Linked DNA regions of Anolis sagrei. The protein of the gene in region 3 interacts with the protein of the main gene of each other region in a biochemical or structural test. Links are inferred from orthologs where the notes say so. Each region holds a gene or a part of one and is shown on either strand. Other genes may lie near its edges. The genes, in order: NR2C1, CAMK2D, HDAC4 and ZBTB16.

What was found.
Region 1: the proteins of HDAC4 (region 3) and NR2C1 form a complex in vitro, tested with the Homo sapiens proteins (2 studies listed by BioGRID). The link is inferred for Anolis sagrei from reciprocal best matches to the Homo sapiens genes HDAC4 and NR2C1.
Region 2: of the proteins of HDAC4 (region 3) and CAMK2D, one has a biochemical effect on the other in vitro, tested with the Homo sapiens proteins (2 studies listed by BioGRID, with this or other methods). The link is inferred for Anolis sagrei from reciprocal best matches to the Homo sapiens genes HDAC4 and CAMK2D.
Region 4: the proteins of HDAC4 (region 3) and ZBTB16 form a complex in vitro, tested with the Homo sapiens proteins (2 studies listed by BioGRID). The link is inferred for Anolis sagrei from reciprocal best matches to the Homo sapiens genes HDAC4 and ZBTB16.

What each region holds. Positions count from the first base shown.
Region 1 is NC_090025.1:155,090,919-155,098,893, reverse strand, and holds the start of NR2C1 (nuclear receptor subfamily 2 group C member 1), read left to right. Parts: upstream 1-4,962; 5' UTR 4,963-5,284; intron 5,285-7,975. UniProt on the Homo sapiens protein: Orphan nuclear receptor. Binds the IR7 element in the promoter of its own gene in an autoregulatory negative feedback mechanism. Primarily repressor of a broad range of genes.
Region 2 is NC_090025.1:33,138,166-33,145,937, reverse strand, and holds the start of CAMK2D (calcium/calmodulin-dependent protein kinase type II subunit delta), read left to right. Parts: upstream 1-4,760; 5' UTR 4,761-5,820; coding exon 5,821-5,885; intron 5,886-7,772. UniProt on the Homo sapiens protein: Calcium/calmodulin-dependent protein kinase involved in the regulation of Ca(2+) homeostatis and excitation-contraction coupling (ECC) in heart by targeting ion channels, transporters and accessory proteins involved in Ca(2+) influx into the myocyte, Ca(2+) release from the sarcoplasmic reticulum (SR), SR Ca(2+) uptake and Na(+) and K(+) channel transport.
Region 3 is NC_090021.1:159,870,525-159,877,991, forward strand, and holds the start of HDAC4 (histone deacetylase 4), read left to right. Parts: upstream 1-4,459; 5' UTR 4,460-4,629; intron 4,630-4,783; exon of another isoform or gene 4,784-4,804; intron 4,805-5,156; exon of another isoform or gene 5,157-5,304; intron 5,305-7,467. UniProt on the Homo sapiens protein: Responsible for the deacetylation of lysine residues on the N-terminal part of the core histones (H2A, H2B, H3 and H4).
Region 4 is NC_090027.1:42,594,883-42,601,820, reverse strand, and holds the start of ZBTB16 (zinc finger and BTB domain-containing protein 16), read left to right. Parts: upstream 1-3,933; 5' UTR 3,934-4,156; intron 4,157-6,938. UniProt on the Homo sapiens protein: Acts as a transcriptional repressor. Transcriptional repression may be mediated through recruitment of histone deacetylases to target promoters. May play a role in myeloid maturation and in the development and/or maintenance of other differentiated tissues.

The DNA.
Region 1 (7,975 bases), on a different chromosome or scaffold from region 3:
TGGACTGTGACATATGTAATTAACATTTTCATCACTCAAGAAAATGAGCCATGCTGGTACAGAGCAAGGATCTATCTAGTTTTGCTCTCTTTCAGACTCTGGCCATGGAATTGCCAAAAAATATCCCACAAGCAGTACAGGTGTGCAGAAGCATTCTTTATCTTGCATTCCCCAACCTTTGAGGGAAATGGTAATATAGTTTTTGTAGTTTATCCTTTGTACATTAAGACACCTTAGAATGGGACAAGTAATCAGGTTCTGGTTTATTTTATAAGCAATGTTTTCTCATGAACATTCAGTCATTTCAACATTTAAAATCAAATGAATGAATCTGTTTTTTATTATGAACAGGACATAGAGGTCTTCAGATATCTCAGTGTCACAGAACTTGAGATATTTAACAGGTTTTTTCTTTCAGTTGCTCTTACCGAATTTTCAAGTGCTTCTTATGTTGAGTGTATAAAGACTGCACTCTATTGTTAATTAGTAAATGAAAAAACAGACCTTTAACACTACAGATTAAAACAGTTTAAAATAACTGCAAATAGTTGTTTTTATCAAAACTAGTTTACAAATGCCTTCCTCCTCCACATTGTTGTAAAACAGGAAGTACAGACCTGTTCTTCCAAAATACTTTGACGGCTGCGAATTTTTTCTTCCCCATGATATGGACTTTTCCCCATGGTGAACAAAATGAATGTGCTTCTATTAATTACTTTAGAGGAAAGAAAGGAAACAAAATCAGCAGGAGGAATGGCCTGTAAATCAGTTTGTGTGCGTTTTAAGACTGGCAGAACTAAAAGTTAGATGCTAAAAGCTATAACCAGTTACGTGACAGCTTCTGCTACTGCACTGTGTTTCTATCAGAGCTAGAATTATATTGTCAACATGTTAATAGATCCCATTGATCCAATGGGCCTATATAAAAGAAGAAATAGATTGAGACCACAGTTCAACTTAGCAACCGGTTCTGAATGTATTCTATACCAATAATCTATCAAAATGGGGGAAAGTACTGTTTTGTACCATTGCATCCCACTCTACACTTGCCACTCCAATTCCCCAACAAACATAGAAAGTGGCCACGTTGGCTGGGAGAATATAGAAATTGTGTTCTTAAAAAGTACATTTTCCAGGTTCTGCCCTTTCTTCTTCAATAGTTTCTGTTCTGTATAGGGGAGACTACCTTGCTTGTTACTAAGAAATTACATTTTTCCCATTTCTCAGCTTATCCGTCCTAAATCTGTTCTGTATTTAGTTGGCACAGGGCTACGTGCAGTGGAAAGAAGGAAGTTTGGCCAGGAGTGTTATGTCTGCTCCTTAATTTTTGTTCAGAGTGAGAAATAGAAAAGAAACATTTTCAAACAAATGGGGAGAAAAGGATGGTGAGAGACTGGCCATGGGGTTTTTTTTATATACAGAATATATTATCTTGGCTGTTAATTGTGTCCAAGAGTAACGATGGTATTTCATCATATGGATATATAATGCAATTATATCACTATGCCCTTTAGTTGCTGTGATGCTGAAGCTGAGGACAAATGAGGAAGTATTGGTGCCCTGCCTATATTTATAGATATTTTTGATCAGAAGGCTGACTTGTTCTTTCCTGATGATTCAGGGTGGGACTGGAATGCTAAAACTGGAATGCCACACAACTCTCATTTCTTATCTACTACTAGTTAATGCATTTTCATAAGATGAACTAGCACTGCTGAGAAAAACGACTTAATCGAAGAATGTCAGCACATCAGCAAAATCCCAAATGCCACAATTCAATTTCACTTCATTTAATTTCATACAAATCTCCCAATTCACAACTATATTCCCAGCCAGCTACAGATACTAAAATAGTACTGTGCCAGCTAAAAATCCAACTAGAGTACTAATCAAAACAGCCAAAAAGCTTTGACCGAAGCATTCAAAAGCAGCATTAGATCAAAGAATGCTCTGAAGTTTAATTGACAAATAAATAAATAAATAAATGGAGGCAAACTTTTGGTTCAGTTTATCCTGAAAATAATACTATTTTCCTTTCCGGATTTTGTTTTATGTTTCTTCATCTTCAGCCAGTTTTTTACCCATCCCAATCAATGAGCCAGCTTTGATAATTCGGTGACTACAATATATAGTATCTGTTTTCCTTGTATTACAAGAGAACATGTAATCTGCAGATGGTGAATTGCAATTCTTATACGCATTAGCCAGAAGAGAAAGCAGTGAAATGGATGCTATTTTTTAAAACCAATGTCAGTATCATTCATTACACAAATGACAACTAAGCACTTTGCTGCCTTCTCTATAGCATATACATATGAGATCTGGTGTCATGATAATCCTAAAACAGAACTTAGAAGTGTTGCAGAAAAGGGCAACTAATACTCTCATGGGCCTGGGGCACCTTTCTGCACAAGAAAAACATGTTTGAATTATTAAGAATTTGAAAATATAGACAAAATGTAATGTGGGGCAACTGTGGTTTATAAAAGCCTATACCATCTTGAGAAAATATTGTTTGCTTTCATATTCTTAGGTCATCTACTGAAATACTATAGTTTCAAAATAAAATGTTTATCAAATGATGCATGCAGATCCAACTAAGGTAGCCTTTTGCAGCTAACAGATGGTAATTCTGTCAGTTCTGATCGTTTTTAAGTACAGGCCACGGTCTTTAGGCACTGCACCCAGTGTGTTGATGACCACTGGGACCACCTTTACTGGCTTGTGCCAGTCTTCGCAGCTCAATCTTTAATTCCTCATATCGTGTAAGCTTTTCCAGTTTATTCTTGTCAATCCTGCTGTTGTCTGGGATTGCAACATCGACGACCCATACTTTTTTTGTGAGATCAGGAGTATTGTGCTTCAAAACTCTATCAGTCTGAATTCAGAAGTCCCAGAGTAGTTTGATGGTTTCATTTTCCATAACCTTTTCAGGTGTGTGATCCTACCAGTTCTTTGTCTCCAGTAGATTGTTGTTGTTTATTCGTTCAGTCTCTTCCAATTCTTCGTGACCTCATGGACCAGCCCACGCCAGCGGTTCCATCGGCCTTCACCACCCCCAGCTTCTTCAGAGTCAAGCCAGTCACTTCAAAGGATACCATCCATCCACCTTGCCCTTGGTTGCCCCCTCTTCCTTTTTCCTTCCATTTCCCCTAATATCATTATCTTCTCCAAGCTTTCCTGTTTTCTCATGATGTGGCCAAAGTACTTCATCTTTGCCTCTAATATCCTTCCCTCCAATGAGCAGTCAGGCTTTATTTCCTGGAGTATGGACTGGTTGGATCTTCTTGTTGTCCAAGGCACTCTCAGAATGTTCCTCCAACGCCACAGTTCAAAAGCATCTATCTTCCTTCCCTCAGCCTTCCTTATGGTCCAGTTCTCATATCCATATTCTGACATACTGTGGGGAATACCATTGCTTTAACCATGTGGATCTTTGTTGCCAGTGTAATGTCTCTATTCTTCACTATTTTATCGAGATTGGTCATTGCTCTCCTCCCAAGAATTAAATGTCTTCTGATTTCCTGGCTGGAGTCTGCGCCTGCAGTAATCTTTGCACCTGGAAATACAAAGTCTGTCATTGCCTCCACGTTTTCTCCCTCTATTTGCCTCCAGCAGATGGTATTATTATTATTTTATTATTAATATTAATGTTACAGATGGCCTGCAGGGTCTCTCTCAAATCTGTAATTCTAAGTAAGGAGATACACACACACTTAGGCGATCCCTCGTTGTCCGAGTAGGATTGTCTTCCAAGATCGGTGTACTGATGGTGGGTCCATAGGTGATTGTGGAGCCCTATTCTTGTTCTGCATGTTCTCCCACAGTGAGGGCATTGGTTTGCAGGTGGAAGCCGGTCCTGATTGGGGTTGGCTTTACACGCCTTCCTCTTGGCACGTTTCTCTTTCGCCCTCCATTCATGCCTCTTCAAATTCTACAGCACTGCTGGTCACAGCTGACCTCCAGCTGGAGCGCTCAAGGTCCAGAGCTTCCCAGTTCTCAGTGTCTATGCCAGAGTTTTTACGGTTGGTTTTGAGCCCATCTTTAAATCTCTTTTCCTGCCCGCCAACATTCCGTTTTCTGTTCTTGAGTCGGAGTAGAGCAACTGCTTTGGGAGACAGTGGTCCAGAAAAAATGGCTGGTCCAGCGGAGTTGATGGCGGAGCACCATCACTTCAATTCTGGTGGTCTTTGCTTCTTCCTGCACGCTGACATTTGTTCACCTGAGATTTGTAGGATTTTTCAGAGGCAGTGCTGATGGAATCGTTCTAGGAGTTGCATGTGATGTCTGTAGACAGTCCATGTTTTGCAGGCGTATAGCAGGGTTGGCAGGACAATAGCTTTATAAACAAGCACCTTGGTATCACTATGGATGTCCTGGTCCTTAAACACTCTGTGCTTCATTTGGAAAAATGCTGCACTCACAGAGCTCAGGCAGTGTTGAATTTCAGTGTCAATGTTGACTTTTGTGGAAAGGTGGCTGCCAATGTAGTGGAAATGGTCAACATTTTCTAATGTTACACCATTAAGTTGTATTTCTGGCATTGGAGAGGGATTGGCTGGTGACTGCTGGAATAGCACTTTGGTTTTCTCGGTGTTTAATGAGCTTTATAAACAAGCACCTTGGCATTCCTATGGATGTTCCGGCCCTCAAACACTCTGCACTCGCAGAGCTTAGGCGGTGTTGAATTTCAGTGTCAGTGTTGACACTGAAATACAACACATACACACAAACATACACATCCCATCACACACACAAACATGTTGGAGAAAACAGCCCATCTAAAAGCATCACTGGCTGATAGGGGTTTTTGGCCCAGTCCTTGAAAAGGCCCACCAATAGCAGGAGGTTATAGCAGGAGGTTGTGGAGAGAGAGAAGATAAAAGAGAGGCTCACCGTCGCGCATGCGCAGAAGACGCTTAACCTGACCCTGAGGTAGACCATTCAAAAGGCTGTTCCCTTCCCCCGTTACTACTCCCCCCTCCGTCGCCATGACGACGCGCCTGGCTCTTCTCCCTTCTCTTCCCCTTCCCTTCTTCCCCCGCCGTGCGTGCGGCACGGTGACACTCGCTCCGCCTCCGCCATGGGCTCGCTTTGCGCAAGCGCAACCGGGCCTTGAAGCGGCGGCGGTTGTGGCGGCGGCTGAGGGGACGGAAGGAGGGAGGGGCGCCGAGAGGAGAACGTGAGCGTAGGCCGCGCGAGGCGGGGCCGGGGTCACGACCTCTGACCTCCCGCCGCCGTCAAATAAGCCCTGAGGGGGCTGCGGATGCGTCGCGCCTGTCAGGTCAGTCGGGGGCGGGGGAACGGGAGGAGGAGGAGGAAGGAAGGAGCTGGGGCGGACGGGCGAGGCCTTCCCAGGCCCTTCTTGCCTTCCTTGAGGGAGCCTCCCGAAAATGGAAGGAGGGGAGGAAGGGCGGGAGGAAGGGCGTCCTGGGCGCCGTGCTCCGCTCAGCCTCGCAATGGCAGCCGAGCAGCCGCCGCCCCCCTGACCTTTCACCCACAGGAAAGGCTTGCGTCTCCCCTCCCCGGATCCAGGCCGCGCCCCGAGGCCCGCGCCTCTCTCTCCGCAGCCCAGCCGGGCTTCCTGGGCAGGGAGGGAGGGACGGAGGGAGGGAGGAAGGGGCGCCGGAGGGGGCGACAGCAGCCATGTTGGGGCCCCTGGGTGACAGCCGAAAGGCGAGAGGGAGGGAGGAAGCAAGGCAGTCTCTGCTTCTTTGCTTCCAAGCTGCACACAAAGAGAATCTCGTGAATACATTGCGCTGTTTTCGCCGTGAACCCTTAGATAATTTATTTATCGTGTCAGGAGCAAACCAAACGGTTGTATTAAAAACAAAGTTTGCAAACTTGGCATTTTATTAAATGTCCTTTTTCAGTAGCTGGCCACATGGAGTGCCTCTGGTGATGCTATAAGAAGGTCTTCCATTGTGCATGTGGCAGGGCTCAGGTTGCATTGTAATAATAATAATAGTAATAATAATAATAATAATAATGAAGCTGACACGATATGAGGATTTAAAGATCAAACTGCAAACACTCTGCCACAAACCAGTAAAGGTGGTCCCTGTGGTGATTGGCACAAACCAGTAAAGGTGGTCCCAGTGCTGATCAGCACACTGGGTGCAGTGCTTAAAAACCTTGGCCTGCACTTAAAACACAGTTGGCGCTGACAAGATTACCATCAGCCAGCTGCAAAAGGCAACCTTACTGGGATCTGCACCCATTATTCACTGATACATCACACAGTCCTAGACACTTGAGAACTGCCCAATGTGTAATGCAATACAACAGCCAGCAGAGTGATCATTTTTCCTGTGGACTCATCTAATAATAATAATAATAAGTTTGTATTACCCCCCCCCCCCCTTCGTGGGAAAGCTCAATTCCACAATCCTCCTTTTAATAAGCTCCCCTCCGCAAATAACCTGCTTCTCCTTTTATCTCACCTGTGTTTTTAATCAGTTTTTAAATCATTTTCTCGCACATGTAGCCACCCATTGTCACTGTGACTGTGTTTATTGTAATCTTATATCATTAATGTATTCATATGTTTTATGTAATTATGATGTTGTTTGTTGCATGTGTTTTTGGTTTTAATTCGTTGATTGGGCTTGGCCTCATGTAAGCCACCCCGAGTCCCCATTGGTAAATAAAGTTTATTATTATTATTTATTATTATTGATGTTGTCATACGGGGTGACAGTCAAATTGAGGAAAACTTAACCATTATCAGGACCACAAAATCAAACTGCAAAGGCTCTGGCATAAACCAGCACAGGTGGTCCCAGTAGTCATCGGCACACTGGCTGCCATGCCAAAAGATCTCAGCCAGCATTTGGAAACAATAAATATTGAGAAAATCACAATCTATCAACTGCAAAAGGCCACCTTAGTTGGATCTGCACACATCATTCGAAAATACATCACACAGTCCTAGACGTTTGGGAAGTGTTCGACTTGTATTGTCGAAGGCTTTCATGGCCGGAATCACTGGGTTGTTGTAGGTTTTTTTGGGCTATATGGCCATGGTCTAGAGGCATTTTCTCTTGACATTTCACCTGCATCTATGGCAAGCATCCTCAGAGGTAGTGAGGTATTTGTATCTACTTGTGATACAAAATCCAACATATAGATCTCATTTGCTGTGACATACTGCGATTTTGTGTCAGTAAAATAATAATAATAATCTTTATTTATACCCCGCCACCATCTCCCCAAAGGCGACTCGGGGCGGCTAACATGAGACCAAGCACAGAATTACAGTACAAATAAAATACAAACAGCAAATAATAACATCAAAATAAAATACATAAAATAACAGAAAATGCAATAAACAGATGCAAAATAACATGATGAAGAAATAAAATAAAATAGTAAGTGGTCTGTGGTTTGCTCGTCTCCATACTCGCATGTTGTGGATTCCACTTTGTAGTCCCATTTCTTAAGGTTTGCTCTGCATCTCATGGTGCCAGAGCACAGTCTGTTCAGTGCCTTCCAGGTTGCCCAGTTTTCTGTGTGCCCAAGAGGGAGTATCTCATTTGGTATCAGCCATTGGTTGAGGTTCTGGGTTTTAGCCTGACACTTTTGGACTTTCGCTTGCTGAGGTGTTCCATTGAGTGTCTCTGTAGATCTTAGAAAACCATTTCTTGATTTAAAACTATTTCTTCAGAAGCAACCCTTAGATAATAATATATTTATTAATATCCCACTTTTCTCCTTGAATGGGACCCGAAAGTGGCTCACAACAATTTAGAAACAGTACAAATAGCAAACACATATAACAATAAAACCAAATTCTATAAGAATGACATAAATAACCATTCAAAAATCATTTAACAGTTACAGTAGAGTCTCGCTTATCCAACATAAACGGGCCAGCAGAATGTTGGATAATAAGGAGGGATTAAGAAAAAGCATATTAAATGTCAAATTCCATTATGATTTTACAAATTAAGCACAAAAACATAATGTTTTATAA
Region 2 (7,772 bases), on a different chromosome or scaffold from region 3:
CTGAACTAAAAGAGGTGGGGTGGAATGTTATTATTTTGCAATTACTTGATTCTTTGTTTATGGAGACTGAGGCAGAAGATTAGATTACTGTTTCCGTTATAAATGGGAAGAAACTCAATGATGGCATGCAAACACACATACGAATTGGAAATAATAAGTCTGTTCAGTATTTAAATAACTCAAACTTCCTAATGCCGCAACGCCTTAATACAGTTCCTCATGTTGTGGTGACCTCCAATGATAAAATTATTTTCGTTGCTACTTCATAACTGTAATTTTGCTTCTGTTATGAATTTTAATGTAAATACCTGATATGCAGGATATATTTTCATTCATTGCACCAAATTTGGCACAAATACCCAATACACCCACATTTGAATATTGGTGGGGTTGTGGGGTGTGGTGGTTGATCTTGTCATTTGGGAGTTGTAGTTGCTGTGGTTTATAGTTAATCTACAATCAAAGAGCATTCTGAACTCCACCAATGGTGGAATTGAACCAAACTTGGCGCAAAGAACTCCCATGACCAACAGAAAATACTGGAAGGGTTTGGTCTCTGACCTTGAGTTTTGGAGTTGTAGTTCACCTACATCCAGAGAATACTGTGGACTCAAACAATGATAGATCTGGACCAAACTTGGCACAAATACTCAATATGCCCAAATGTGAACACTAGGCCTGGGTAACAACGCAAAAATTTGTTTCTAAAATTGATTCGTTTTTGGGGGGGTTTTGCGTTTTGTTATTTAAAAGAATTACAAAATTTTCCTTTAAAAGGGTTCGGTATTTACGAAATTTCGTTATTATTAACGAATCGATTCGTTAAGATGGCAGACCCCCCCCCCCGCGCGCATGCGCAAATCACTTTTTTTTCTTTTTTTAGAATATTTTTTGATTTTTTTTAAGAATAAAAGAAATATTTATCAGAAATATTTAAAAATGGAAAATTAACAAAATGCTTGCCCTGTTGTGGAGCAAACACAGCCGCAGGACAGGGACAAACACACACACAGGCACACAAGTTTTTTTTCTTTTTTTAGAATATTTTTTGATTTTTTTTAAGAATAAAAGAAATATTTATCAGAAATATTTAAAAATGGAAAATTAACAAAATGCTTGCCCTGCCCTGTTGTGGGGCGAAAACAAGGCAAAGCCTCCCCGCTGCTCCCAGCCCAGGTCCTTAAACCGCCCTCGCTCTCCCAACAATGAATGTGAATGAATGAATGAATGCAAGCAATGAATGAATGCAAGCAAGCCATGCCTCCCTCCCGCACCTCCCGTCTCCTCGCCTTCGCAATGAGTAATGCGGCCATGCGGAGCCGCTTTTAAAGGGCAGCCCGCCCAATCACAATGAGCCACGGTGCTTGGGAGCGCCGGATTGGCTCCCGGCGCACCCAGCATCCTCCATCCCTAAAACGTCATTTCCGAAACGGGCGGAAGCTCGTAAAAAAGATGGAGGATAGCCGTTTCGATATTTAAAAACACTTCCGGGTTTGAAAATAAGTTTTGTAATCATTTTGTAATTGTTAAAAATAATGAATATTTAACAAATTACAAAATTAACGAACAAAACCGCCCAGGCCTAGTGAACACTTGTTGAGTTTAGGGAAAATAAAACTTGACATTTTGGAGTTGTAATTTCTGGGGTTTATAGTTCACCTACAAAGAGCATTCTGAACTTCACCAATGATAGAATTAGGCCAAACATTCCTCACAAAACCCTCATGCCTTGAAGGGACTCACTGGTGCAAGCCTCCCTCCAACCTCACATACTTTCCCTCTCCCGCACATGTGCACCACGCTGCCATGCACCGAACACGCCTGCTCCCCCCTCCTTGTGTGGAGTCTCAGAAACAGCTCTCCCCTTGGCTGAGAGGCCAGCCAATCACAGCAGGGGGGGCTTATGGTAGGAGGATTTGCCATCTGTTTCCAAAAAGGAAGAAAAGGATAGGTGGAAAGATCTTCGGCCTTCTCTGCCAAAGGTGTTCCTAAGACTATCAGAAAGATACCCCATTCCCCCCCCCCCTTTTTTTCTTCTTCTCCCTCTCCCTTGCCCTACCTCTCACATGTGTTGTAACTCTTTTGTATTTTGTATACGTATTTAAAATCAATAAAAATTTAATAATAAAAAAAGAAAGATATATGTTTTCCGATAGTCTTTGGTGACCCTTCTGAAATCCCCTCATGACCTCCCCCCCCCCCCCGGGGTCCCGACCCCTAGGTTGAGAAATGCTGGTCTAGCTTGACATGTACCACTATGAAACAACATCATACATGAATTCTGACAAGAATTTAATGTTACAGATTTTTGAGTAGTTGTTTTTCGGCCATGGTTAACTTCTCAGTTTATAATTATAGTTGTCAACAGTTATATCTTTGAATTTTGATCTGTATTTTAAATGTCTTCATTTGAAATGCTTTGATGCAATGAAAACTTAAAATACATATAATCAGGATTGAAAAGGGACACTGAGAAATAAGAGGGTGGCATCAAAATGTTCAGGAAAATCATGAGGTTTACAGATACGCATGCCTAAGAGTGCAATACCTAATCACTCCAAAACCCCATTGCATTCAGTGAGGATTGTTAAAAGTGTGCACAGAAATGCAACCTCTCAATGCAATCCTTAACATGACAACTATCTTTGAGCCAGATAATGGAGTGACTTCCAGGGTGGGTATGAGAGCCATATTTAAATATTTGAAAGGATGCTATATTGAGGAAGGGGCAAGCTTGTTTCCTGCTGCTCTGAGACTATTATTATTATTATTATTATTATTATTAACTTTATTTGTACCCCGCTAGCATCTCCCGAAGGACTCGATGCAGCTTACAAACGCCAAGGCCTCAAACTCAACATAACAATACAAACCTAAAGCAAATTAAAAACAATTAAAGCAATATTAAACAGCAAAACAACAAGCAATAAACAATACACCAAAACACAATAAAACCTGGCCGGGCCAGAGTAAAGGGTACAGAATTAAAAGTGCTGATGTGACAGGTGATATGTAAGGATTATTGGGTAAGTGCAATGTGCAGAGTGCGGCAATCTTAGTTCTAATAAAGTGCTTCTGGGACTTGGTATTGGAGATTTCCTATTCTGGGAAGGCACATCGGAACAGTCAGGTCTTCAAGTTCTTTCTGAAGACTGCCAATGTAGGGCCTGTCTAAGATCTTTGGTGAGGGTGTTCCAGAGTCGGGGGCCACCACGGAAAAGGCCCTGCCTCATGTCCGCACCAAACGCACTTGCGACGCAGGCAGGATCACGAGGAGGGCCTTTCCAGATGAATGGAGAGAACGCGTGGGTTCGTAGACGGAGATTTGGTCACGCAGGTAGGGTGGTCCCAAACCGTTCAGGGCTTTGTAGGTAAGCACCTGCACCTTAAATTGGGCTCGGAAGATAAACAGCAGCCAATGGAGCTCCTTGAACAGGAGGGTTGACCTCTCTCTGTAAGGAGCGCCAGTTAACATCCTGGTTGCTGCTCGTTGGACCAGTTGAAATTTCCGAGCCGTTTTCAAGGCCAGCCCCACGTACAGCGCATTACAGTAATCCAATCTAGAGGTGACCAAGGCATGGACCACCCCGGCCAGATCAGCCTTCGCAAGGTACGGTCGCAGTTGGCGCACGGGTCTTAATTGTGTGAAAGCCCTCCCAGACACCGCCGACGCCTGAGCCTCAAGTGTAAGCGATGAATCCAAGAGGACTCCCAAACTGTGGACCTGTGGTTTCAGGGGAAGTGTAATCCCGTCCAACACAGGTTGCCACCCTATACCCCGGTCAGGTTTACGATTGACCAGGAGGACCTCTGTCTTGTCTGGATTGATCTTCAGCTTGTTCCTCCTCATCCAGATAGACACAGCGGCCAGGCACTTGTCCAGGACCCGGGAGGCCTCCTTGGAATTGGGTGGAAATGAGTAGTAGAGTTGTGTGTCATCTGCATAGAGGTGGCACCTAACTCCAGACTAGGACATGGAGAAGTGGATTTTAATTGCAGGAAAAGATATTCTGCCTGAACATTTAGATCAGGGGTCCACAAACTTTTTAAACAGAGGGCCAAGTCACAGTCCCTCAAACTGTTGGAGGGCCGGATTATAATTTGGAAAAACATGAATGAATTCCTATGCACACTGCACATACCTTATTTGTAGTGCAAAAACCACTTAAAAGCAATACAATAATTAAAATGAAGAACAATGTTAACAAATATAAATTTATTACTATTTCAGTGGGAAGTGTGGGCCTGCTTTTGGCTGATGAGATAGGATTGTTTTTATTGTTGTGTGCTTTCAAGTCGTTTCAGACTTAGGTTGACCCTGAGCAAGGGCCGGGTAAATGACCTTGGAGGGCCATATCCGGCCCCCGGGCTTTAGTTTGAGGACCCCTGATTTAGATCAATTTGACTTGTTAATATTTAAACATTAGGAAGAATTTCTTGACAGCGAGAGCTGTTCAGCAGTGGAAGATGCTGCCTTGGAATCTGTGCCTTTTTTCCCCCCTTTGGCAACTGCATTCTTCCCTCTTCACAAGCTCTCTTACAAGCAGCATCCCAACGACGCCTTCTCCTTAAACCAGGTTGGCAACAGTCTCGCGAGAGTTTGGAAGTGGCGCTTTAATTTCCTCCCCCCCCCCCCCTCCCCGCTGCTGCGTTTCCACCCAGAGAGTGGCTGAGCGGGCGCGCGTGTCGGGTTGTGACGCCACCCAAAGCAAAGGGGAGGGAAAAGGAGGGAATCACCCCGGGGGTGGGGCTCCTTCCTCCTCCCCTCAAAAAAGGAAAGGGAGGGGAGATGATGAGGTATCCCGAAAAGCCTCTTTCCTCTTCAGAGGAGCATTTCCGAAAGCCAGGAATGTGTAGACTTATTGGTCCACACAAGAGCAACCAAAATAGAAAAGAGCCGTGAAATCAAGGGAGAGCCCTTCCCTTGGTGGGTGCCTGTGAGACGGCCACCCCCTTCCCAAACACCCGTTTAGGGAGGCCAAAGGATTTTGGAGGGCTGGCGAGGACGTGGAGCTCTCAAGGACTGCGCTCCGTGTGTGTCAACAGAGGCTTAGAGGAAAGGGAGGGAAGGAAGGAAGGAAGGAGGAAGGGAGGGAGGGGAAAGAGCGGGAGAGGTCAGGCGGGCAGCGCGCCGCTTTCCTGCCCAGCGCTCCGGCGAGAGGAAGAGCCCGGCTGTCGCTAGAGGGAGGTGTGGGACCGAGAGAGGAGGAGGAGGAGGAGAAGCTGGAGCCTGAGGAAGGGAGGGAGGAAAGAGGAAGACAGCGAGGAAGGAAGGAAGGGGCTGCTGGTCGCCAGCCTGGCTTGACCTGAAGCGCAGAGTGGCTTTGCGTGGCCAGGCTGGGCGTCGGGAAGGGAACTGCGCCCAGGAGGGCATCCCAGGTCGCCTCCAAAGGGACACTTGTCGCCCTCGCTTCCTCGGCTCCAGTCCGCCGCCTCTCTCTCTCTCCCTCTCTCTCTCGGGACGGATAATTATTAAGCCCGTCACGGTTGCCGTCGGAGTTGCTGCTGCTGCTGCTGCCGAGACTCGCCTCCTTCCCAGCCCAACCCCGAAAAGAAGGGGAGAGGGAGGAAGTGTGGGCCCTCCCTTCTCTCCCGCCCTCCTTCCGCCCCGGGGACGCCCAAAAGGAGCTGCCCAAGAGGGGGCGGGCAGAAGGGCTCGCCCGGACGACGACGCCGAGGACGAGGCAGCCCAGGCGGCGAGGCAAAGGCAAGGGAAGCGGCCGCGCCTTCGCCTTCCTCTTCCCGCCGCCGCCGCTCCTGCTGCTGCCCAGGCCCCCTTCGCTCCGCCGCTTCCTCCCGCCGAAGCCCCCCGCGCCCGCCATGGCCTCCACCGCCACCTGCACCCGCTTCACCGACGAGTACCAGCTCTTCGAGGAGCTCGGGAAGTGAGTGGCCCCGCGGGGAGAGGGAGGGAAGGAAGGAAGGAAGGAAGGAAGGAAGGAAGGAAGGAAGGAAGGAAGGGGGAATGCAAGGAGGGAGGGAAGAGGGAAGGAAGGAAGGGATGCTGGAAAGGAAGAGAAGGAAAGAGGGAATGTAGGAGGAGAGGAAGGAAGGAAAGGGAAAAAGGAAGGAACGCAGGAAGGGGGGAAGAGGGAAGGAAGGGATGCTGGAAAGGAAGAGAAAGAAAGAGGAAATATAGGAGGAAGGAAGGAAAGGGAAGAAGGAAGGGATGATGGAAAGAGGGAAGGAAGGAAAGGAGGGAAGAGGGAAGGAAGGGATGCTGGAAAGGGAGAGAAGGAAAGAGGGAATGTAGGAGGAGAGGAGGGAAGGGAAGGGAAGAAGGAAGGGGTGATGGAAAGAGGGAGGGAAGGAAGGAACGCAGGAAGGAAGGGGGAAGGAAGGCATGCTGGAAAGGAAGAGAAGGAAAGAGGAAATGTAGGAGAGGAAGGAAGGACATGGAAGAAGGAAGGGATGATGGAAAGAGGGAGGGAAGGAAGGAACGCAGGAAGGGAGAGAAGAGGGAAGGAGGGGATGCTGGAAAGGGAGAGAAGAAAAGAAGGAATATAGTAGGAGAGGAAGGAAGGAAAGAAGGAAGGGGTGATGGAAAAGGAGAGAAGGAAAGAGGGAAGAAGGAATGTAGGAAGAGAGGAAGGAAAGGGAAGAAGAGGTGAGGGAAAGGGAGGGAAGGGAAAAGGGAATATAGAGGGAGAGGAAGGAAGGAAAGGGAAGAAGGAAGGGATGATGGAAAGAGGCAAGGGGGAAATGGGTCCGTTTTGAGGGCTGGGAGGCCAGGCGCGCATGGGCTGGATGTGGGCCTTCATCCCCTTCCAAGGGAGGGGTGTGTTTGAAGTCCGCTCCGTGCCTCGGCCCGCCCTTGGCCCAGGGTCATTGGCAGCATCTCCTCACGGGAGAAGGGAGCCCACCCCTGGGCAGCTCCAGCCCAGTCCCCGCGGAAGAAGGGCGGCAGAAAGAGGGGGAGGCGGAAGGCCGAGGTGCCGGTGGGGAGGGAGGGAAGGAAGGAAGGAGGCGCAGCTGCCCCCATTCCGCGGACGAAGCCGGCTTTCCGCTTCAGACGCTCGAGGTGCCACGTTTACCGAGGCAGAAAGTTCAGCGCTCTCAGGTCGAGCGACTCCTCCATGCCGAGCTTCCCTTCCACTTCCTCCCTTCACAGAATTCTGACAAGAATCAATCAGGGCTAGCTAGCACCTCCCAACAAAGGATTCCCCAGGCAGCAACCAGCCAGTCTTTGAAGCTGCCAAACCATTGAATGCTAATTAAAGTGGCCAGTTGCTACATTCACACCTGCCTCAAGAAGAGGAAAGTTCTTTCTCCCACCCTGGGCATTGCACAGATATATAAACCTCACTTGCCTAGTTTCCAACAGACCCCTCAACCTCTGAGGATGCCTGTCATAGATGTGGGTGAAACATCAGGAGAGAATGCTTCTGGAATATGGCCATACAGCTCGGAAAACTCAGAGCAATCCACAAAATCCTTCATCAGATGAGTTTTGGGATTTTCTCCCCTTCTCACCTGTCTTGGGTGGGAATGGAAGAAACTGGGGCGTCCACAGGAGCGAAGGGAATGGGCCTCTGGTTCACATGCATGGCTCAAGTAGGAATGCCCATTTAAGTTTTCAAAATAATAATAAAAAATAGCGACAGAAATCAGTGTATGGCATAAGACATCATCACCTCCACTGCCTGTTGTGATGGGAAAGGAGCGCTTGGGATTCAGTACACTGACCTTGCTTTCCCTTGTGTTTTCATATATATGATCCCCAAAGTGTAAAGTCAATTCTGGAAATAGAAAAGACCTCAAAATGTTTGCCT
Region 3 (7,467 bases):
ATGCAGATAGCTTAAAGCCGAAAGGAAGGCTAGTGGCCAACGGTGCTGGAGGTGAATGACGAATCCGATGCTCTAAAGAGCAACACACCAAATGAAAAAGGAAAGAGGGTCCGACCAAGGACAAGATGGATGGATGGCATCCTAGAAGTGACTGGATTGACCTTGAAGGAGCTGGGGGTGGTGATAGCCGACAGGGAGCTCTGGTGTGGGCTGATCCATGAGGTCACGAAGAGTCGGAAGCAACAAAATTTAGTTTCTAGAAGTAGGAGGTCTGGTTTTTCTAAGGATGTTTCAGGGTCACATTAAATTTGAAGAGAAAGTTGGGTAAATACTACATGCTACAAGTTACATATATCTATTACAGATAATTAATGTAATATAATATTATAACATATATGTATGCATGAAGATTATTGGCTTTTATATATACATTTGGTGGATATTTAAGTTGGAGAAGCAATATGTACAATATAAGTTTATTTATTTATTTATTGTGTCAGGGGCAGACCAAACAGTTGCATTGCATTTTTTTAACAAACAAAACAAACAAACAAAGCTTGTCAGTTTGCAAAGTTTGCAAGCTTAGTAGTTGATTAAATGTCCTTTGACCAGTAGCTGGCCACTTGGAGTGCCTCTGGTGTTGCTGCAAGAAGGTCCTCCATTGTGCATGTGGCATTCACTCAAGTTTAAGACATTTTCAACCGAAAATCCATGCAAACTATTCCTAACTAGAACTGTTTCCATCTAGATAACAGCAATAGTGCCATCAGCTACTTCTTCCCCACCCCCCCCCCCCATATCATATGCAAAAAAACAAAAAAAAAAAAAAACCCCAAAAAACCCCAATGTATTTTTTTTTTAGGAAATTCCTTACAAGGCAAGAAATATATCTTCATGATCAAGAGAGTTTCAGAGTATGTCCAAATACATCCTGATATCACATTAATAAAAAAAAAAACATAAGAATGGGAGCAGGCAACAAAGTACTCTCTTATGACTAGAGCTTTCTAACTATTTTACATACACAGGCATGGGCAACTGCAAAAACCCAATTTGTTTTTTTTTTTAAGATATTTTATTATGTTATACACACAGATCAATAAGCCAAATTCCAAGTGTTACACATATAAATCCTGAGTCATTCAACAAATATTAAAGACATTATGTTAATTTACTCTGGTGTATATTACATTATCTCCACCTTCCCTCCCTCTCCCTCCCTCTTTAACCACAGTATATTTCTACTAATCTTGCAGATCCAGCCACTGGTAGAGTCTTTGTATTTTTTTTTCTTTGATGTGATCGTTGGCTTCTCCATTTTTCACCCAGTTGAAGTAGACCTTCCATCTATTTGTAATGATCTTTTCTTTGTCCATTCTTGGTGTTTGCTTAGTCATAATTCCCGTAATATCTAACAGCACTTGGTCATACATATAATCATTCCAATTACTTAACGTCCATTTCGATTTGTCTTTCCATCCTCTAGCAATCACCGCATGGGCTGCTCTTATTGTTACCTTAAATAACTCCTGGCAATTAGTTATTATACTCGGATGATCCAACACTCCCCATAGTAGCAAATCATTATTAATTTGAATTTTTATCTGGAATATCTCCTGAATTTTTCCTTGTATCAAAAACCCAATTTGCATAAATTGAAAAATGTCCAAAATCATTTTGATTATGATTATGATTTTTGATTATGATTTATTTATTTTGAACATTTCTACCCTGTCCTTCTGTTATGCACTCATATGCACACATGCGGATCTACTTATATATATACTAAGATGTTCATATTTGTGCATATACATTCCAGTGAAAAACGGAGTGAATTTTTTAAAAACCTCTTCCATTGGATGTCCCTTGTACATCCTCCATCTTGGAGATATGATAGCTTTGTATAAATATGTCAGAGGAAGCCACAGGGAGGAGGGAGCAAGCTTGTTTTATGCTTCTCTGGAGACTAGGACAGGGAACAATGGCTTCAAACTACAAGAAAGGAGATTCCATCTGAACATGAGGAAGAACTTCCTGATTGTGAGAGCCGTTCAGCAGTGGAACTCTCTGCCCCGGAGTGTGGTGGACGCTCCTTCTTTGGAAGCTTTTAAACAGAGGCTGGATGGCCATCTGTCAGGGGTGATTTAATTGCAATATTCCTGCTTCTTGGCAGGTGGTTGGACTGGATGGCCCATGAGGTCTCTTCCAACTCTGTGATTCTATGATTCCATGATTGTTCCGATACAGAGGAAGGCTGTGAGGATGGCAAGGGACTCAATCCCGGGATTAACAGGTCTGTGTGGGGATCTGCAGTCTGGGATTTTTGTCATCATTTAAAATGCGGGTTTTGGCACTGTCTGGAAGCACTCTAAGAGACTGTAGCTGGACTGGAACGTTCCTGTCTTGAACCAGAAGAGAGTGAAAACAATACTTTGCAGTGGTCCCCTTTGGCACTCTTTTGTCACCCAGCAATCCACTTGGTAGAACCAGGAAACCAGCAGCTCTACAAGCAGTGTAATAACAAGCTGGCCATTGAGCTTTCTTGGCTAGGAAGAGCTTCCTATTTGGACTGAGTGCTTTAATGATGAACAGGAACAATCCTCCTGTTTTTCGGTGTATTCTTTAGTTCTGACTGCTGTTTGTTCCTTTGGTCAGGCTGCCGGGCACAAATCCCGATTCCTGGCATCCATCTGCCTGTTGCCTATGACCAAGTTCTGGCACTGCCACCCTGGCTGGCTTTCTGTTTCTGGCACATTTAAAAGAACATTTTCTTGTGTGCTTTAATGTTTTTGAGCAATATGTTCCTTGGATTTATTTATTTATTTATTTTGCTTGCCTTGTCATCAGTTTAGGATTATTATTTTTTTTTAAAAAAAACAATAACAGAATATCTTGTGGGAGTGGAAACATATTTTTGTTCTCCCAATTTTGGTAAGATGTCTATTGACTTTTGACAGGTTCTTTCAATATAATCACTCTTTGCTACAACTGAGAAAGCAACACAAAAAGAACTTTAATGTGGGCACCTGGCTTGATGACATTCTCCAGCTATATTGCTCTACCTGAATCATTCGCCATCACAGCTTTAAAACACTTTACATGCCATGTATTTGGCTTTTTAGATTTACAGGGATAGCTCAGGAAGTGCAAACAATGAAGTGATTCTATGGAACAAGTATATATGATCAGGTGAGAATAAGAGTAGAAGGGACAGAAGTCTAGAGAAGGTGGACAACTTGACCAGCTGGTGATTGAAGATGTGCTAGGTAGTTGACATCCTGCCTCACACACCCCGACCTCAGTCTAGTCTTACTGGAAGCCAGGTCAATTGTGAGCTCAGGAAACCTACTATTATCATGAATACTACAAGCAGAAAGAAGAGTAGTTTTCATCATGGTGCCCAGGATCTTTGGTGTGTCTGTCAGCATAGCTTACAAAAATAGCAGGTTCTGAAAGTACGGTATCACTTAGACAAATGGTGTTTGGCACGAGTGGCAGTTGGGCATGCTTCCAATACATGACCTAGTTGGCTGGTGAATTAGCCTGTTGAACCTAGAAGGCATAGAGCCGGGGTCCTCAAACTTTTTAAACAGAGGGCCAGGACACAGTCCCTCAAACTGTTGAAGGGCCGGATTATAATTTGAAAAACAACCCATGAATGAATTCCTATGTATTCCTGACTGTGAGAGCCGTTCAGCAGTGGAACTCTCTGCCCCGGAGTGTGGTGGAGGCTCCTTCTTTGGAAGCTTTTAAACAGAGGCTGGATGGCCATCTGTCAGGGGTGATTTGAATGCAATATTCCTGCTTCTTGGATATTTCAAGGTACACAACCTCGGCTTTGGATATGAAACATTCAATCCCCCTGAAGCTATGTAAACACGGTGTACAGAGAGGCATTTTCTGTGGCGACTTGGTTCCACCTCCATTTTTTTGGTCGTGTCAGGAGCGACTTGAGAAACTGCAAGTTGCTTCTGGTGTGAGAGAATTGGCCTTCTGCAAGACGTTGCCCAGGGGATGCCCGGATGATTTGATGTTTTTATCCTTGTGGGAGGCTTCTCTCATGTCCCCGCATGAAGAGCTGGAGCTGATAGAGGGAGCTCATCCGCCTCTCCCGGGAGACCTCCATGGTGGCTGCCTATGGCCTCCAGTTCTGTGTGTGAGAGAGGAAAGAGGGGAGGGCGACCCTCTTTGTTTGCTTGCCCCTTCTTGCCGGCGTGGGCTTTGAGATACATGGCAAGAGAGAGAGAGAGAGAGAGAGAGAGAGAGAAATCTGGCCGGAGACTCGCGAAGAGAGCCACGCCTCCCGCTTCCGAAATCAGCCGAAATCAACTCCACTTCCGGCGTCGGAGAAAGGAGGGGGAGAGCAAGGGAGGAGGGAAACGTTGCTATTAATAGCCCCGCTCTCTGATTGGCCCGCGGGAGCAAAATAGGGGGGAGGGAAAAAAAAAAGGAGGTTTGTACCACGTGACTTTCCATCTGAAAACTCCAAGATGGCGGGTCCCGTCACGGGCTGATTCCGTTGGCGGCGCGCGCACCGTTGTGCCAGCGCCGAGGGCTTGCCTGCCTGCTTGCTTTCCTCCCTTCCCCGCATTCTCTGCGGGTCTTGCCGTCTGAATGTCTCCGGCTGAGGTAAGTGCTTGGCCCGGAAAAAAAAACCCCGTTCTGAGGCCAGTTATTATTCTGCAGTCGTTATTCGCACTTCCCCTTTAAACAAAAAAGCGGGGGGAGAGATAGAGGGAAATTGTGTCCTCCGGCTTTTAAAGCAGCCTTAAAGGGTCCCTTTCTGTTTCGAAACGTGTGCCTGGTAAGACCCCAACCGCGGTGGGAGGGGATGCAAAGGAGGAAGAGCGCGCGGAGGGAGGGAGGGCAAGGAGGGGGAAGGGCAATAGAATGCCCAGGGCTGGAGTGTGTGGGGGTCGCGCGCGCGGGGAGGGGGGGTAGTAGGAAGGCGGCTGAGTGGCGCTTCGAAGCACCAATCAGGGCCCCGTTGGCCGCCTTGGCGGGTGCTTTTGAGCCCATGTTCTCGGATGCCCCGGCGTTGGGTGAAGAGGCGGGGTGAGGGTAGGGGCGGGCCTTGAGCCCTTGACTGACACCTGCTCCGACCTATCGGAGGGGAGCCGCCCTTTCGGCGGAGAGCGCCGCTGTATTTACCCCTTCGCTGGGAACCCATCCCTCCCTCCCTCCTTCCTTCCTTGCCTCGCGCGCTGGCTCCGTTTTATGAATGAGGCGGGTGGGTCCCGGAGCCGCGCCCGTCTCGCCTCCCAAGCAAGCCCCTCCCTCTTCCTCGCCTTCTGGGCCGAAGGGGTGAGTAGAGCGTGCGCTTCAGGGAAGGAGGGAGATGCGGTGGAGCCGAGGGCGAGGCTGGGCGGTGTCCCGGCTGCCAAGAGGAGGGAGGAGAGGAAAGGAGAGGAGAGGAAGGCCGCTCGCCTTTTCGCCTGCCTCAGGGCACGATTTCAGTCAGGCAGTCGGTCAGTCAGTCATCCTCCTGCGGTGTAATGGCTGGGATATTGACAGAGGAAGAAGAGCAGGCCGGGCCTTCTGAATGGAGCGCTTTGACTCCTGGGAAAATGGCCCTGGCAAAGAACAGCCTCGGTGCGGTCCTTTCCAGGCTGTGGTACCCGAAGCTTTTGTCTGGGCAGCTCTGCTGATAGATAAGCAGGAGCAGGCCCTCTCTCTCTTGTTTGAAGCAGGAGCGATCAGGCCTCTCCTAGGATTTAAGGCTCTTTGCTGAGTCCACCCCACAGGGTTGTAGGCAAAATGGAAAGAGGAAGCCAAACGGAACCTCCAGGAAAAAGGATGGGGAAACAACCGTCTGCCAATGTGCATGTCTCATGTGCTCTTTCTGTGGGCCCTTCCGCACAGGCATATAACTCAGTATATCAATCAATCAAATCATTGATTGATTGCAGGTGAAACGTCACGAGAAATGCCTCTAGAACATGGCCATATAGCCCGAAAAAACCCACAAGAACTGAATCAAATCATTTATTTCGGTCATTGACCAGCACAGGAAATAGAGTCACATTTTCATACAAACTTGGTATGTTTGGTACATTAAAAATATAAATATAACTACTAAAGCACAATATGGGTGAGGGAGCAGAAGGGGAAACAGGTTAAAAACATACAATGCCCAGATCCATCACCAAATTGCAGATTCAGGGAAGAAGATTACTGGACACACAGTTGACTTTGGGACTAGTCATTCCCTGGCAAATTTTTTATGCTGCTGCACAGAACTTTGCAACATTGTAGGTTGTAGCTGAATTAGTATCTGCAAGTAGCATGGAGGTATAAAATTGTCCTGAATGGCCTGGGTGCTTGTATATCAGAGGTAAGATAAGCCTGGCACGGATATCCCTGTAGAACGGGCTCCCTCAGTATATCATAGAACAGTCTTTCTCAACCTGGGGGTCGTGTCAGGAGGGACTTATTTATTTATCGTGTTATTAGCAACCATACCATTGTATTACATTTTTGACAGAACAAAACAAACAAACAGATTTTTAAAAAACACAGATTTTGCAAACTTGGTAGTTGATTAAATGTCCTTTGACCAGTATCTGGCCACTTGGAGTGCCTCTGGTGTTGCCGCAAGAAGGTCCTCCATTGTGTGTGTGGCAGGGCTCAGGGTGCATTGCAGCAGGTGGTCAGTGGTTTGTTCTTCTCCACACTCGCATGCCGTGGATTCCACTTTGTGGCCCCATTTCTTGAGGTTGGCTCTGCATCTCGTGGTGCCAGAGCGCAGTCTGTTCAGCGCCTTCCAAGTCGCCCAGTCTTCTGAGTGCCCAGGGGGGAGTCTCTCATCTGGTATCACCCATGAATTGAGGTGCTGGGTTTGGGCCTGCCACTTTTGGACTCTCGCTTGCTGGGGTGTTCCAGCAAGTGTCTCTGTAGATCTAGGAAAACTATGTCTTGATTTAAGTCGTTGACGTGCTGGCTGATACCCAAACAGGGGATGAGCTGGAGATGTTTCTGCCTTGGTCCTTTCACTATTGTCTGCTACTTCCCGGCGGATGTCAGGTGGTGCAATACCAGCTAAGCAGTGTAATTTCTCCAGTGGTGTGGGGCGCAGACACCCTGTGATAATGTTCAGGCAGTGCTTCTTGTAGGTCAGAGCACGGTCCAGAGTGACTCCCGGGTATTTGGGTGTGCTGCAATGCTCCAGTGGGATTCCTTCCCAGGTAATCCTCAGAGCACGGGATGCTTGTCTGTTCTTAAGGTGAAAGGCGCATGTCATGGGTCATCCAGTCCAACCCCCTGCCAAGAAGCAGGAATATTGCATTCAAAGCACCCCTGACAGATGACCATCCAGCCTCTGTTTAAAAACTTCCAAAGAAGGAGCCTCCACCACACTCTGGGGCAGAGAGTTCCACTACTGAACGGCTCTCACAGTCAGGAAGTTCTTCCTCATGTACAGATGGAATCTCCTCTCTTGTAGTTTGAAGCCATTGTTTCATGACCTAG
Region 4 (6,938 bases), on a different chromosome or scaffold from region 3:
TCTCTTCCTCCCTCCCTCCATTCATTTTCTTTCTTTCCCTTTCTCTCTTTCCATCCCCTTTTCTCTTCCTCATTCTCTTCTGCCTTTCCCGCTCTTTCTCTTTTCTCTCTCTTCCTCCCTCCTTCATTCCTTCCCTTTCTTTTTCTTTCTATCCATTTTTCTCTTTCTCGTTCTCTTCTGCCTTTTCCTCTCTTTCTCTCTCTTTCTCCCTCCCTCCATTCCTTCTCTTTGTTTTTTCTTTCTCTTTCTCTCTTTCCATCCCCTTTTCTCTTTCTCCTTCTCTTCTCCTTTCTCCCATTCTCTCTCTTCCTCTCTCATTCCCTTTCTCTTTTTTCTTTCTCTTTCAATCCTCTAGTCTTTCTCCTTCTCTTCTGCCTTTCTCTCTCTCTCTCTTCCTCCCTCCTTCATTCCCTTTCTTTCTTTCTCTCTTTCTCTTTCTCTCTTTCTATCCCCCTTTCTCCTTCTCTTCTGCCTTTCCCTCTCTCTTTCTCTTTCCACTCCCTCATTCTTTCTTTCCTCCTCTTTCCCTCTCTTGCCACCCCTCCTTTCCTCTTTCTCTCTTTCCAACCTCCTTTCTCTTTCTCCTTCTCTTTTCTCTCTCCCTCCTTCATTCCCTTCCTTCCTTTCTTTTTTCCTTCTCCTTCCATCCCCTCTTTCTCCTTCTCTTCTGCCTATCCTTCTCTTTTTCTTTCCACTCCCTCACTCTCTTTCTTTCCTCCTCTTTCCCTCTCTTGCCATCCCTCCCTTCCTCTTTCTCTCTTTCCACCCCCCTTTTCTTTCTCCTTCTCTCTTCTCTTTCTCTCTCCCTTCCTCCCTCTTTCATTCCCTCCCTCCCTCCCTTTCTTTCCATCCCCTCTTTCTCTTTCTCCTTTTGTCTTTCCCTCTCCCTTTCTCTTTCTTTCCTCCTCTTCCCCTCCCTTGCCATCCCTCTCTCCCTCCTTCTCTTTCTCTCCTTTCTTCTCTTTCTTTCTTCCTTCCCCCCTTCTCTCTCTCCCTCCCTCCTTCTCGGCGTGCCAATCCACCCGCGTGGGGGCGCCCACGAGCCCTGGCCAAGCAGGGGACTCCACTCCTCCTCCGCTTCCACACACGCAGACACGTGCCTTGGAGAGAGAATCCCGCGTGGGCTCCTGTCCTGGGGTCGGGAGTGGAGAAGGAGCCTTTGTCTCCCTTGGGAAGGGTCCCTGCCTTGGGGAGGGGTCTCTCTCTCTCTCTCTTTCTTGGGTGAGTTTGGGGCAGAAGCAGCAGGTGCCTGATGGGGGCGGGGCTGAGGGAGGAGGGGGCGTGGCTGAGGGAGGAGGGGGCGTGGCTTTCCCACCCTCCCTCCTATCAGGCGAAGCCACCACCGCTTCCATGTTGGATCCGGGCAAAAGCCAGAAAGCGCTGTCCAGCAGGAGCAGGAAAGTCCCCACTCAAGTAGACCCACTGACCACGATCATGATCCAAGACCTGGAAACCTTGCATCATCCCCCTGAGGAGCGGCTTAAGGACCTGGAGATGCTTATCCTACAAGAGGGAAGGGTGAGAGGAGACATCAGGGCCATATTCCAATATTGGAAAGGAGGTCACAAGGAACCCATTCACCACTATCATGAACCAAGACCTGGAGACCATGCATCATCCCCCTGAGGAGCGGCTTAAAGACCTGGAGATGCGTATTATCCTGCAGGAGGGAAGGGTGAGAGGAGACATCAGGGCCATGTTCCAATATTGGAAAGGAGGTCACAAGGAAGATGAGGAAGAGCTTTCTGGCCATAAGGAGAGCTGTTCAACAGTGGAACTCTCTGCCTCGAAGTGAAGTGGAGGCTCCTCCTATGGAAGTGTTGGAGTTGTGCCTTCCTTTATAGAATCATGGAATAATAGAGTTGGAAGAGACCACTATCATGAACCAAGACCTGGAGACCTTGCATCATCCCTCTGAGGAGCGGCTTAAGGACCTGGAGATTCTTATCCTGGAAACATCAGGGCCATATTCCAATATTGGAAAGGAGGTCACAAGGAAGAGGGAGCAGCTGAAGATGAGAAAGAGCTTCCTGGCCATAAGGAGAGCTGTTAAACAGGGGAACTCTCTGCCTCAGAGTGAAGTGGAGGCTCCTTCTTTGGAAGTGTTTGAGTTGTGCCTTCCTTTATAGAATCATGGAATAATAGAGTTGGAAGAGAGCCCATGGGCCATCTAGTCCAACCCCACTCTGCCATGCAGGAAAAGAACAATCAAAGCACACCTGATAGATAGCCATCCAGCCTCAATAATAATGATAATAATAGTAGGGTTGGAAGATAGTCCACGTGCCATCTAGTGCAACCTATTCTGCCATGGAGGAAAATAACAATCAAAACAACCCTGACAGATGGTCATCCAGGCTCAGTAGTAATAGTACTAGGAGTAGGAATAATAATAATAATAATAATAATAATAATAACAATAGGGTGGGAAGAGACCCCCATGGGCCATCTAGTCCAACCCCCTTCTGCCATGCAGGAAAGGCACAATCAAAGCATCCCCAACAGATGGCCATCCAGCCTTAATAGTATTAGTAGTAGTAGTAATAATAATAATAATAGAGTTAGAAGAGACTCCATGGGCCATCTAGTCCAACCCCTTTTGCCATGCAGAAAAGCACCATCAACGCACCCTTGACAGATGGCCATCCAGCCCCAATAATATTATTATTAATAATTATAATAATAAATGGAGTTGGAAGAGACCCCAAGGGCCATCTAGTCCAACCCCTTTTGCAATGCAGAAAAGCACCATCAAAGCACCCTTGACAGATGGCCATCCAGCCTCAATAATCATAGAAATCATCGAATCCTAGAGTTGGAAGATACCTTGTGGGCCATCCAGTCCAACCTCATTCTGCCAAGAAGCAGGAAAATCTCCTTCAAAGCACCCCTGACAGATGGCCCTCCAGTCTCAATAGCAACAACATTAATAACAGTAATAATAATAGAGTTGGAAGGGACCCCATGGGCCATCTAGTCCAACCCTACTCTGTCATGAAGGAAAAGCACCATCAAAGCACCCTTGACAGATGGCCATCCAGCCTCAATAATAATAATAATAATAATAATAATAATAATAGAGTTGAAAGAGACCCCCAAGGGCCATCTAGTCCAACCCCCCTTCTGCCATGCAGGAAAAGCACCATCAAAAGTACTCCAGACAGATGGCCATCCAGCCTCAATAATAACAACAACAACAACAACAACAATAATAATAGAGTTGGAGGGGACCCCATGAGCCATCTGAAGGAAAAGCACCATCAAAGCACCCTTGACAGATGGCCATCCAACCTCAATAATAATAATAATAATAATAATAATAATAATAATAATAATAATAATAGAGTTGAAGGAGACCCCAAGGGCCATCTAGTCCAACCCCATTCTTCCATGCAGGAAAAGCACCATCAAAGTACTCCTGACAGATGGCCATCCAGCCTCAATAATAATAATAGAGTTGGAAGGGACCCTCTGGGCCATCTGAAGGAAAAGCACCATCAAAGCACCCTTGACAGATGGTCATCCATCCTCTCTTTGAAAGTCTCCAAGGAAGGACTCTGAGGCAGAGAGTTCCACTGTTGAAGAGCTCTTCAATGTGTCAGGTGGTTTTTCCTCATGTTCAGGTGGCAGAAGGGAGTTGGGATGGATGACCCTCGAGGGAGAGCCCCCTGACTGCGAGAAAGCACCCAGAGTCTGGATGGCCTTCTGTCGGGAGGGCTTAGATTGTGAAAAGAAAAAAGCTGGAATGGCCACGGAGGTCCTTTCCAAACTCTGTGCCGCCTTCCTTCCCTTTGCCTGGGTGCCCAAAGTGAGGTGCCAGGAGCCAAGATGGAGCCTGGTCGGTGGAGGGAGGGAGGGGAGGGGGCGGGAGTGGGCGTGGCGAGGGGGGCGTGTCCTCGGAGGGGGCGTTTTCCCTCGGGTCCGCTCCTCAGCGGCGCCTGCTTGCCCTCCTCGCTCGCCTCGCCGCCCGGCCAGAGAGAGAGACGCGCGGAGCCGGCGCTGCCAACTCGCGGGCGATGCTGCTCCTCCGCCCGCCGCCGCGTCTTCCTCTTCCTCTTCTTCCTCCTCCTTTTCCTCTTCCTCCATCCTCTTCCTCCGGCCCTTCCGAGACCCTCTCCAGCCTCCTTTGCCCGGGGGAAAGAAGCCCCCCAAACCGGTGAGTCTCCGCCGAACCCAACTCTTTCGTGGGGCGCAATGCCGAACCCAACTCTTTCTTCTCCTCTCGGTGCGTAATTACGCACGAGGACGAGCTCTCCCTTTGGTCTCCTAATTCCAAGGACCTGTTTGGTCCCCTTTCCTTCCAAAACTGGCTCGAGTCCTTGCTTGGGTCCTTCCCTTCCTTTCTGGGGGCAGTTTTGCAGGTTGCGTCCCAGGGAAAGAGGGCAAAGAGCATGTGCAGAAGGCGAACCGGGGCGCAAAATATGTATTCTTTCTCCTTTTGGTGCGTAATTAAGCACGAGGACGAGCTCTCCTTTTGGGCACCTCGTTCCAAGGACCTGTTTGGTTCCTTTTCCTTCCAAAGCCGGCTCGAGTCCTTCCATGGGTTCTCCTCTTCCCTTCTGGGGGCAGTTTTGCAGGTTGCGTCCCAGGGAAAGAGGGCAAAGAGCATGTGCAGAAGGCGAACCGAGGCGCAAAATAGGAAAGCATGGAGACCGAGCGACGGAGAGGAAAGAGAACCTGAAGAGCACCTTTGGAGGAGCAGAAGAGCATCCATAGCTCTTCGGAGTAGCAATAATAAGGAAGGGGAGGATAGTCAGGAGTCGGAGGAGTAGCAATACTAAGGACTGGGAGGAGAGTAAACACTCGGAGGAGTAGCAAGCAACAATAAAGAGAGTAAATATGGTCAGGAGAGGAATGGCTCTTCTTGGACAGAGGTGGAAGGAGAGAGAGAGAGGGTGCCCCCGTTTGTTTGGCCCCTCTTCTCTCCCAAATACTTACTTACTCTTCTCTCCCAAATAGTAAGGACGGTAAAGAGAAGGATCACAATGACAATAGCTCTCAGGATGGTCAAGATATCAAGGATTGTAAGGATGGGATTCGGGATAATAATAATAATAATAATAATAATAATAAGAATAGTCAGGGTGTGTTGTGGAAGGCTTTTTAATGGGTTGCTGGAGAAGAGAAGGCTTTGTTTGTTTTTCATGACTTGAGAAATTGCAAGTCGCTTCTGCTGGGAGAGAATTGCCCGTCTGCAAGGATGTTTTGATGTTTTACCATCCTGGTGGGAGGCTTCTCTCATGTACCCTTTGTACGAGGAGCTGGAGCTGATGGAGGGAGCTCATCCGCACTCTCCCCGGATTCAAACCTCCAACTTGTTGGCCTTCAGTCTTACTGGCGCAAGGGTCTGCTTTACCATCCTTGTGGGAGGCTTCTCTCATGTCCCCTTTGCATGGGGAGCTGGAGCTGACGGAGGGAGCTCATCTGCGCTCTCTCCAGATTCTAACCTCCAACCTGTCAGTCTTCAGTCCTGTCATCAAAAGGGTTTGCTTTACCATCCTTGTGGGACACTTCTCTCCTGTCCCTACATAGGGAGCTGAAGCTGACAGAGGGAGCTCATCTGTGCTCTCCCCGTATTCATACCTCCAACCTGTTGGTCTTCAGTCTTGCCGGCACAAGGGTTTGGTTTACCATCCTAGTGGGAGGCTTTTCTTATGTCCCTGCATGGGGAACTGGAGCTGACGAAGGGAGCTCATCCATGCTCTCCTCAGATTCAAACCTCCAACCTGTGGGTCTTCAGGCCTGCCAGCACAAGGGTCTGCCAGCACAAGGGTTTGGAGCTAGAGCTGACGGAGGGAGCTCATCCACGCTCCCCCCAGATTTGAACCTCTAGCTTGTTGGTCTTCAGTTTTGCTGGCACAAGGGTCTGCTTTACCATCCTGGTGGGAGGCTTCTCTCATGTCCCCACATGGGGAGCTGGAGCTGATGGAGGGAGCTCATCCGCACTCTCCCCAGATTTGAGCCTCAAATCTGTAAGTCTTCAGTCTTACTGGCACAAGGGTCTGCCGGCACAAGGGTTTGCTTTACCATCCTGGTGAGAGGCTTCTCTTATGTCCCCACATGGGGAGCTGGAGCTGACGGAGGGAACTCATCCACACTCTCCGACTTGTCGGTCTTCAGTCTTGCTGGCACAATGGTCTGCCAGTTCAAGGGTCTGCTTTACCATCCTTGTGGGAGGCTTGCCTTATGTCCCCGCATGGGAAGCTGGAGCTGATGGAGGGAGCTCAGCTGTGCTCTCCCCAGATTCGAACCTCCAACCTGTTGGTCTTCAGTCTTGCTGGCACAATGGTCTGCCAGTTCAAGGGTTTGCTTTACCATCCTTGTGGGAGGCTTCTCTCATGTCCCCGCATGGGGAGCTGGAGCTGACAGAGGGAGCTCAGCTGTGCTCTCTCCAGATTTGAACCTCCAACCTGTCAGTCTTCAGTCTTGCTGGCACAAGGGTCTGCCAGCACAAGGGTTTGCTTTGCCATCCTTGTGGGAGGCTTCTCTCATGTCCCCACATGGGGAGCTGGGGCTGATGGAGGGAGCTCATCCGCGCTCTCCCCAGATTAGAACCTCTAACCTGTCAGTCTTCAGTCCTGCTGGCACAAAGGTTTAACCCATTGCACCACGGGGGCTCCTTAGAAGACTGAGAGGAGGCGTGATGAGGGCCATGTATCAAGAGGTGAGGGGAAGTCAAAGCAAGGAGAGAGCTGCCCTGAAGCAACAGAGCAATGGCTTCAAACTACAGGAAAGGGGATTCCACCTGAACATTAGGAAGAACTTCCTAACTGTGTGAGAGAGCTGTTCATCAGTGGAACTCTCTGCCCCAGAGTGTGGTGGAGGCTCCTTCTTTGGAGACTTTGAAACAGGTGGTCATCTGTCAGGAGTGATTTCAATGCGATTTTCTTATAACTTGGTAGAATGGGGTGGACTGGGTGGCCCACAAGGTTGCTTCC